Drosophila melanogaster: one gene and its partner. The protein of the gene in region 1 interacts with the protein of each later gene in a pairwise test. Each region holds a gene or a part of one and is shown on either strand. Other genes may lie near its edges. The genes, in order: bbg and kst.

Evidence for each region.
Region 2: the proteins of bbg (region 1) and kst interact in a two-hybrid assay, tested with the Drosophila melanogaster proteins (one study listed by BioGRID).

Annotation. Positions count from the first base shown.
Region 1 is NT_037436.4:14,533,241-14,538,492, reverse strand, and holds the start of bbg (big bang), read left to right. Parts: upstream 1-2,216; 5' UTR 2,217-2,438; exon of another isoform or gene 2,439-2,454; intron 2,455-4,770; 5' UTR 4,771-4,932; intron 4,933-5,252. Other genes in the region: Mpcp2 (mitochondrial phosphate carrier protein 2), read right to left, coding at 72-461; CG43246 (uncharacterized protein), read right to left, coding at 1,302-1,549, 1,601-1,859.
Region 2 is NT_037436.4:3,348,242-3,353,247, forward strand, and holds the start of kst (karst), read left to right. Parts: upstream 1-1,866; 5' UTR 1,867-2,013; coding exon 2,014-2,095; intron 2,096-3,254; coding exon 3,255-3,445; intron 3,446-3,723; coding exon 3,724-3,891; intron 3,892-5,006.

The DNA of each region.
Region 1 (5,252 bases):
CCGACCTGGTCACGAGCATATAATTCGCCTCCAGACGATTATGCAACCCATAAAGTGAAGCCCAATCTCACCTGTGCCGAGTAGCCGAGCAGAGTGGGGAACCAGCCCTTAGCCAGTCCGCGGGCGCCCTCCTCCGCCACGGTGACCTTGAATCCGTGCACCAGATTCTTGTACTTGGCCTGGTCGACCTGCAGACGGCACTTCACCAGATCCAGTGGGACCACGAAGGTGTGGGTGGTGCCGCAGCTGAGAATGCCACCAATTCCGCACAGAGCGAAGTACTTGGTGCTGCCGAATTCGCACGAATCCTGCTGGTTGGCCACCGGGGTAGCGGCGGCGGCGATCTGGCGACCCTCAACCGGCTGGGGTTCCACCACTGGGGCGGCGGCATCGCATCTTGCCATCGACATGGGGGTGCGGAATGGCGAGTTCCGGGCAGTTTCAAAGAAGCTGGAGAACATCTTGATTCTGTTCTTGTTCTGGGGTCGGCTGAAAGTAGAGAGACCATCCATTAGTTACGTATATATGTACCTCGGAGGCGACATGTGCTTTATCTAATTATATATATAGCTGGGTAATCAGCTGCTTTTCGCTTTTGTAGGTTACATAACGGCGTGCCTCGAATTCCGAGCACCCGGACTTACGACACCAAATTTACCCGAAAAGCGAAGGATTTTAAGCAACCACGTAAATTTAGTGTATGTTAAGGGAGCGATAGAGCACCGCTCGGCTACTTTGATTTCGATTTTACAAAACTTATGCAATTTTCGCTCGGAATTTTCGCACTTACTATTCGTCAGCAACGTTAGCGGCTCGTTGGCGAGGATTCAAAGAATGAGGGGGGGCTCACGGAGGTGCAGCGATTTCTCACGAATACCAAAACGCCTTAATGGTTTTGCCGTGGAGAGGTGTAACTAGCGGATTGAGGATAGTTGGCCACACTCATGTCAAAATCTTCGGCTATGGACTGCAACCTTGGTGCAAAACTTTGGTGGCGCCTGAGCGTGGACTCGAACCATCTGCATACGAGGTATCAGGTGAGATTATTTTAATGCCATTGCCTTCGTTGTGAATAAAATATTAATTATTAATATTAATTTCATATTGATAACATTAGTTGTAAATATTTTGAAAAAATAATAAATTCATTTGTAAAATCCTCATATTTTTGCATAGTATTTGTGATTTGTTTTCTATTTTTACACAATAAAACAAATTTTAATCTAAAGCTTTATTGTATTTAGAACTCTCTGTAAAATATATAACAATTTTCAATTATATGTACATTTTAAATTTATAAGTTATAGCCCCATGGTAAAACTGGATAATTTTATGAGTAAATATGTGAAAATAAAGTTCTGCCATGATTTCACATGGGGTTGGCCCAATCCTTCACTTTTTACGCACGGACAGGAAATTAGGCCTTTGTATTCCATTTTATATTTCACTCTGCAAGTGAAGCAAAATTCACCCTGGTGATCTTCAGTTAATAAGATTTGACAACCGATTTCTGGTGACCAAACGCAGCAGACTTTGGCATTCATAGTATCTGTAAAATTAAAAAATTAGTCTTTTATTACTATTCAAATGCTTCTTATACCGATATGCAGTCCGGGTGGAACGCAAACACCCTCTTTATTGGTTGTTTTTGGGAATTCACCTTGTAGACGACCCAATCGCCTATAAAAGTTTCCTTCATAACAACTGAATCCTGTCTCTTTAATCCGACACATTTCCGTATTTTCCTTCCTACAATCTAAGCATCTCCCATTTTCTATTATAGATACGTTTTTTTCGGCACAGGTGATCAACAGTCTCCCACTGAGTATAATAAGAAAATATATACAATTAAAAGACATTTAAAATAAGAAAAATAATTCAATGAGACCGCGTTGATAAAGTTTATGTATGTATTTCCAAAGGCCACTATGTACGACTATTGTTACAAAACGAACAAAAGTGACTGATAATATACACTTGGATATTTATATTATGTAGGTTATTATTAAGTTCAAGGATTATTTAAGCCTTTCCGCCTTTTTTGTGGTTCTTACCAAAAGAACTTCAACGGACTCTTTCGCTAAGCTTTGAGTCTGTCTTTCGATTGTCTTTGTGCTTCTTTCTTTTTGTTTGCCGCCGTCTTTGCTTTTGCTTGTGCTTTTGTATTTGCTGTGTTTGCTCGCTCGTGGATTTCTGTGGAGTGAAGTTCGGTCGTCAGTTTGAGTTTGGTTCGTAGCGCGTTCGCACACGCGCGCTGTAGTAGTCCGATATATAGTTGATTCCCATTCGATCCGAGATCCGATCCGATATGATCGTTGTTGTGCCCCTCGCCGCCTCTCGCTCGCTCTAATCAGTTGGCCAACGTTTTAGGTCTGCGTACTTCGCGGCTAATTTCCAACTTAAGAAGTGAAAAACAACAAAATCTGGCAAATAATTGAGTAATTAAAGTTAAACGTAAGGAGAGCTGCTCTGCCAAGTGTTTTGTGTTAGTGCTTTTGTGTAACGGTCTGCTAACTGGAGCTGGATCTGAAATAGAGATTACGGCAAAGTGTTTTAGTAAATTGAATGTGGATAAGTTTTGAAAGCTTGAGAGTGGATGCGATAAACTGATCGATTTGGGTTTAGTCTGAGAAGAGGAAGCTTAAGTCGAAAAGTAATCAAGAGATTGGTCATGTTTTTGCAAGCGGAAAAGAAAGTTTGATTTAGGAGAATCGAAAAGTGATAACAAATGAGATATGAACTTAAGTGAAATATGGTTTAAGTAATAATAATATAATACATAATATGCATATACAAATGAATGAATATATCTTTCTAAAGAAAATACAATTAAGTTTTTAAAAATATTTCAAAATATCCTGTTAAAGTCTAGATTGAAGTAATCAATTACAATAACATTACACTTTGTATTGGATAAAATCAATAAAACATTGCAAATGTAGCTTTTTGAAATGTTTTGAATGGTATTAAAAACACCTTCGATCAACATAAAGAAAAGCTCACTGCATGTTGTAAGTGATCTCATAAGATTATCTCATTTCTATAAGCGGCAAATAACATGTAAACTCTGAACTGGTCATTTTAATTGATATTATCTTAGTAAATCTGTGTACATTAGGAAGATTCTATATTTAATAAATTAGGTTCCGAGTCTTCTAATATTTCTTAATAATTCTGACTGTTAGTGGTTCTCCTTTAAACAATTCATGGAATTTTATTGCCCATTTAAAACGAAGTGAGTCCTAAAGAAATTCAAAGAAAAACTAATCAACACCAGTTGCGACTAGTTAACCAGCAACAAAAATTGGCAACTTCCTTCAGTTGGGCGCCAAGTCATTAGCTACCCCAATCCTCCTCCTTTTTTCGCCAGTTTGGGGGCCCACTCAAAGTACCGCTATGACTAGACAGGCCTTGTCCATATATTTCTTTATTTTTTTGCTTACGAATATATATGCAGCCATTAGCCACCGCATCAACAAACGAGACGCCACAAACACACTCTGATCTTTTGAGGCGTTTTGAGGCGTTTTGACGTTTGCTTTGGGGCCCCTTCACTTTTTGTTGTGGCACTGCAAGAAATTGTTTGCTAGAAAGTCATTCCACAATGTAAAATTCGAGATAGAGACACTTCCTGTGTATGCTGAAATTTACAATTTACAACAAGACGACAAACTTTTAATACTTAAACTGTTCTAAAAATTTAAAAATGGTTTAAATTTTATTTATAATGCAATCTTAAAACCCCTATTTTATTTATTTGTTTATTGTACCTTTCTCGCTCTTACATCTTATCACTACTTTTTCTGCGTGCAGATCGTGGTTTTTTCGTGTTCGGGTGAAAAAGTTGCCGCGGCAAGTGCAATTCGCAGTTTGCCGTTCGCGATTCGCATTCCGCTGGCCGAAAGTATCTTTGGAGTTTTGCATCTTGTGGATGTCTGCCGCGGTTAACTGTAAATTGAGGCATGTGCCGCACACTCTCCCCATCTTTCTCTTTCTCTATGTCGCTAGATAGGCGCTCTCTTTCGTCTGTCAAGTTCAATGTGCGTTGACAATTTTCCGTTTCCAAATGGGCGATGTTTTCCACGTTGCTTCTTGTACTTTCACACACATTGGTTTTCCATTGTTGCTGCGCAACTGTGCGTGTACTTTAATTTATTTTAAATCGAAAGGCAATTTAAATTTAAGCATCAGTAAAAATAAAAAATGCAAAACCTAGTGAGTTTTTTTTTGCGCATTCAACCCGGAACTTAAGGTATAGGAGTACCCGAAATCAGCCAGTCGCCCTGCCGTTCGAGTCGTGTGTGGATGTTTTCCAAGCAATGTATCTACGTATCTTTTCATCCTCATCGCAAACGCAATGCATAAATCAACGACGGAAAGAAGAAAAAATCTCTGCTTCGCTTTTTTGTTAGTTTTGTGAAAGCGCAAGTCGTAGCGTAATTTTTACACTTTTACCAAAGAGAAAGAAGACGGAAAGATACATAGATACTCTTTACATACGGCTCATAAGCATCTTTTCTCTATTACCCACCGACATACACGATTTTCGTTTGCCGTTGTTTGTCTTTAAGCCGCTTAATTGAAAGTCTTGGCCTGACTTATGACTGGTTGGAAAAGCCAAATGTAAAAAAGAAGACCTCAAGATGGGTAAATGATTTTTCATCTAGCCCGTAGTGAAACCGATGAAAAATATAATTTTATTGATCACAGTGGGACTGGGTAAGGGGAAAGCTTTCAAAACTCTAACCAAAAGTTCCACCTGATTTTTAGTGCAATAAACTAATTAAACTAAAGTGAAATATGCCAGCAAATTCAAGATAAATATAAATAGGTGATTGTGCAAAAAACTTGCAAATGTTTTTATCTGCCATCTGTGCAAGTGTCCAAAAATCAAACGAACAAACTGCATCCTCTCATCATACAGCGAAAAAGGTAAGATCAAATTGATTTTAATAATCTATGCCCGTTTTAGTTTTTATTTATTTTTGCATATCCATTTGTTAACTCGTTTGCGATGTCTATTAACGGCATTCATCGCCCTGGGTAGTGAGCTCATCTCGGATCTAAAAGATATTCTCAACCTGAAACTTGTTCGATGATTCATTTTTCACAGCTCGGCTTTTCGATTTGTTTATTTACAGTTGTGATATCTTTTTGCTTTGCATATTTTGGCATGCAATACGGGCACGTTTAAATAATTTAATCTGTTAACCGTTTCGGTTTAGTTCATTCAACATTCCGCGAGCCTTTGC
Region 2 (5,006 bases), about 11 Mb from region 1:
AGAAAAGAGTGAAGATAGATATATTTCTGTTCATCTATCTATCTCATATTAAGTTAAGAGTATCATAAGTCTCTGTTCAACTTTAGCAGAATAAAAACGTAACTCTATAGATCATTTCCAGTTTAGATCTATTGTTTAAATTAAATCCAAGTCTGTGGCTCTTTCGTCTCCAGCTTAGCTGTTTTCTCTTTGAAATTGTTTGTTATTTTCTCTCGTTGATTTTAAAAAATTGTTTAGCATGCCAGGCACAAACAAAAGAATTTATATCACTGTGGGTTTCTACTTGTTGTGTTGTGTCAATCTGTATTCTTCTTTTCGACTGAGGCCAAAACTGAATTTTAATTTCCAGCCACTGATGAGGTAATTTTATGCGTAGAAATTTTTGACAACAAAGACCACCAATTCCCTAATTTGCCGAGCTATAGGTCTCATTATTTTCGGTTCAAAGCGGAGATGGCTGAAAAACTACGCTTTTATCAGACATATGCCATCACTCACGCAAAAGTAATTAAAATCGGTAACTACCTCGGATGTTATCTGAGTAGAAAAAGGTTGCCAAAAAAAGATGCCTAACTTCTTTTTGATATACTTTAAAGTATCATTTAATTCGGGATTTGCTAAATGATATGTGTGACTTAGCGTATGGGCCATAAAAATTAAGCATACAAAATGCTAAATGTTTATTGATTTATGCAAATTCTTACACAACTCCGAGGTTGTTGCACGCCTTGTTCATTAGCTAACCGTGTATGTGGAACACACAAGATCTAGAGAACACCGAAGAAGTTGAAAATCTATAAAAATCGTTTTCAAAGTGTTTGCGATGAGTGAAGTGTGGTGGTTTATAAATAGAAAGAGGCGCGGAATCCGAGTGTTCCTGCTCCCAGCTGCCGCGCATGTGCTGTGCTACCATGTTGTATCACAATTGAAGTAAACAGGATGCCCGGAATTCGAGCCTCGGTTCGCATTTGCCCCTGACTTTGCCTCTGCCGTCCTTTTCCGGCGACTTTAGTTGTATAAATAGTTTATGGCCAAAGACAGCTGTATGTGAGTTGGGGGATGCGTTCTATTTTGGGGATCAAGGAGGCACAGTTTTAATTGCTTTTCCTGCTAAGCCTAAAGTTATGCCGCACTCTGCATTTTCTAGGTTTTGTTTGCCACTCGATAATGATAAGCGTCGAACGTTATCGCGGTATGGTAAAGTTTATTGTCACACTGGTGTTGTTGGTTTTTTATTGTTTAGTTTTCACCTCTTTTTAATTGATTTTTCTATTTGCGAAAGCGAAGTGTTCTGTTTGCCAATTAGCCGCGAATGCCTTCCAGGTGACCTCAACGCCATTGGCGGCACATATGTATAGTAAATGATCTATTAGCGGAGTTATGACACCCGACCCGAGTAGACAGCAGATTATAACTCTTTGGCATGATGTCATTGGGAATGATCGAATTTGGCAGCTATTCTAAATGGCCCATTCATTAGTCTGCGGAATCTGATAGGGCGCCATAAATAACTTGATATTGGAAGTGCATTCCCCTCTATATATATGTATTTATTCCGAAAAACATATGTCCGAGGTATGCGGGATTTATGGACCGATAAGATAAGCCGACAGGGTCTATTGGCTGTTTGTCAAGGCAAGGATTTTCAGATACCTTAACCGTTTTCTCATACTGCTATCAGCTCGTGCGATAAAGGGAATTCACCATAGGCCAGTTGAAGCATTTTTGTTGCCACTCTTGGCATTTGGCTTTTAATTCATCTGATAAACAGAGCCAAGAGGGGGAGGAAGCTTTCCCCCACTCTACATTTTTGGGGCGTGCAAAATGTTGGGCACACATTGTTTTTAGTGACCAAACGGCGCGGGCTCTGCGAACATCTGACCGTAGGAACGAAACTTAGTGTCGAAATACAAAATAGAAATAAAAAACGAAAGATTAGCTTTAAGGAACGGCACTCGGTGCTGAAAGCCCGGATATCTTGAGAAACACCCTAGAAATCACTGATCAAAGGCCATGGAGTACAATAGTGTTCTGCGCTCGAATTTCTCGCGCAACGAGTATCGCCGATATATATCCTACGAACGCCAATCGTTGGGTAGGTTTCTGAACTTGAACTTTTCCCCTGGAAGCTCGCGATCATTATACAATCCCGAAACGAAAGTAACCTGCTCTTATCTATCTCAGTTGGGTGGAACTTCATATTTGGTTGATAAGAGCGCAAATATTTGGCAAATGAGTCAACGGCCTAGAAAAATGGTTTCGCTTTCTGCAGTTTCCGCTCCAATTTTGTTCACTTTTTAACATATTCTCTTGTCCAGTATTACGTAAAACGAACCGTTGATAAAAAAAAAGTAACAAAGTCGTGAAGCATTTTCCATAGGTATGAAGTAATTTTGGCAGTCGACAGATAAGCTCGCAGAACCACTATCGCTGGGCAGCGACTGTTTTGATTTCGATACGCTAGCTGGGGGTATATCTACTGGGTTGGAAAGTTGGTCACAGCTTGGTTTGTTTATAGTTGGTAGAGTTGAAATTATCTTACACTTGTTAGCAAAAGAAATTTAAAGATACCTTACTCTTTCATGAGGTAAAGTTACTTGAAATAAAGCAACAGATTGCTAATTTCTACATCTTAAAAATCTTTCACTATATTTTAAAATTCACTATCAAGCTTACTCAAAAAGGTGTTCACAATTTTGTTCAGCTAAGATCTAAATGTGAAACGCCAATCGACACATGGCTTATCTTAACGGGTCTAGAAAACAAAAGTACGTGATGAGGCGTTCGAATAAAAAGTGATTGTTGGTTCTTCGTTTGAAATACCCGTTGGTAATCTTTGACATTATGGGAACCCACTGATGGAATGATTTAAAATTAGGAATTACGTTTGACATAATCGAAAGACTACAAATAAACTGCCTTGGAATGTGGTTCTAACTTTAGCCAGGGATTTTTTTATAGAGGCAATTATGTTGGCGATAACTCGTTATCTCTAAATCAATAGGTTCGTACGTCACGGTCGTGCTTTCCCTATCTCTGCCACATACCTTTCGTATTTTTCCTCTATTTTCCCTATGCCCATTATTGATTTTGGTCTGTTGTCAGGTGGTTTGCCCATTTCTCTTTCCTGGAAAAAAATACAAAAAAAATGAAAAAAAATCAAAACAAACACTAAGCCTAAACGTTTCGCGTTGCATTTATATGACTTCGAACTAATCCGAGATTTTTGTTCCTCCTCCCTTCCCCCCACTTAGCATCACAATATGAGCCGGGAGGCTACTCCGCGCTGCAGACACCGACGCCTTCCAATCGCAACTCCGCCAACATGACCCAGCGGGACGGCATCATCAAGTTCGAGAACGAGCGGATCAAAACGCTGCAGGAGGAGCGCTTGCACATCCAGAAGAAGACATTCACAAAATGGATGAACTCGTTTCTGATCAAGGTGTGTAAACTACTTGAGTCACTCATCACTCCCAATACTTGTAATTTAATTACTATAAAGTACAAATGAAAGAAATGCTTTGTTTTGCTAAGCACATAAAGTTTTCATTGTTTAAATACTATAATTTCTCGATCAAAGTGATGTATTCAAATGAAAGCGCCATATGTATATGACATTCGAAATTATACATTCACTTGAAATTTTGATTGGAAGAAACTTTTATGGCCCCACCAATTTATGAATGCAACTCACATTTGGGCTTATCGTCTTCTTTGTAGGCCAAAATGGAGGTCGAAGACCTATTCACAGACCTGGCCGATGGCATCAAGCTGCTGAAGCTGCTGGAGATCATATCGTCGGAGAAACTGGGCAAGCCGAACAGCGGACGCATGCGCGTCCATAAAATCGAAAATGTCAACAAGAGTCTGGCATTCTTGCACACCAAGGTGAGATATGCCACATAAATGGCGGCGAGTGAAGGGAGTGAAGGCGTTGCAGTTGCTGGAAGACCAAAGACCGAAGACTGAAGACTGGAGAGTGTAAAGCTCTCTACGCATTTGTAGAAAGTGCAAGTCGCGCCTGCGCAGCTGCGCGTGGCCATTGCGTGCTTTGTTTGCCATATGAGGTGCACGGATCTGGCTGTTGGAGTCGGGATTTCGGATCTCGGGGAAGCGGGAAGTGTGAGGCGACGTCAAGACATGGCGAAAAAGTATATATTTAATTACCTAGCCTGGGCACCGCGTTTTCTTGGCAATATCTGAAATATTTGCATACTTTCTAATGCATTTTTTCCTTGACTTCACTTCACTTTGTTGCGCTTGGCACATTTTCCACTGCCGCGCTCATACTATACATGTGTACTTTCTTTGCACCTCTCGTGCGCATTTGATTTTAATTGAGCAAAGTGGGAGCTTAGCGTGCGACATAGTTTCGAATCTTCTGGCTAGTCAGGTGCCTCTGGTCTAATCTAATTAGAAGCAATTAAAACGCATCAAATTGTCCCACTGTCCAACTAATTCACTTTGTTTCTTAAGCGGCGAAGCAGTGAAAGTTTTCGGTTTTACTTTTCACCATTTCATTTCATTCCATTTCGTATTTCATTTGTTTTTCGGGCTTGTCTTTTGTGTGTGACACGGGTATTGAGTGCATTTTAATTGGTGTTTAGGCTTGAAAGAAGCCCGAGCGAAAGATTTACGCACAAGCGAGCATTCGATGGAGGATCCCTTGGGGACTCATTGAAGCGTTTAGCGGAGCACGACTCTTGGAATTTCCAGTCGCCATTAGGAGAACCAAAAGGCGTAGCTCCCTACTAAACATTAATGTACCAGAATAACTCGGAACGAGTCTATTAAAGCAAACGGTTTGTCGGGGAATAGGAATAAAGTTAGCTTACTGCCTTCTTATGAACTATTAAAAACGATAATCTGCCATACATAAATTATAAATGTATATATAATTTATGATTTTGACAATACTATTTAAATTCCTATAAATATGCACAAAATCGATCATAAATCTATGATTAACCCACCTCCAGATTCCCCTTTATCTGCTATGAATT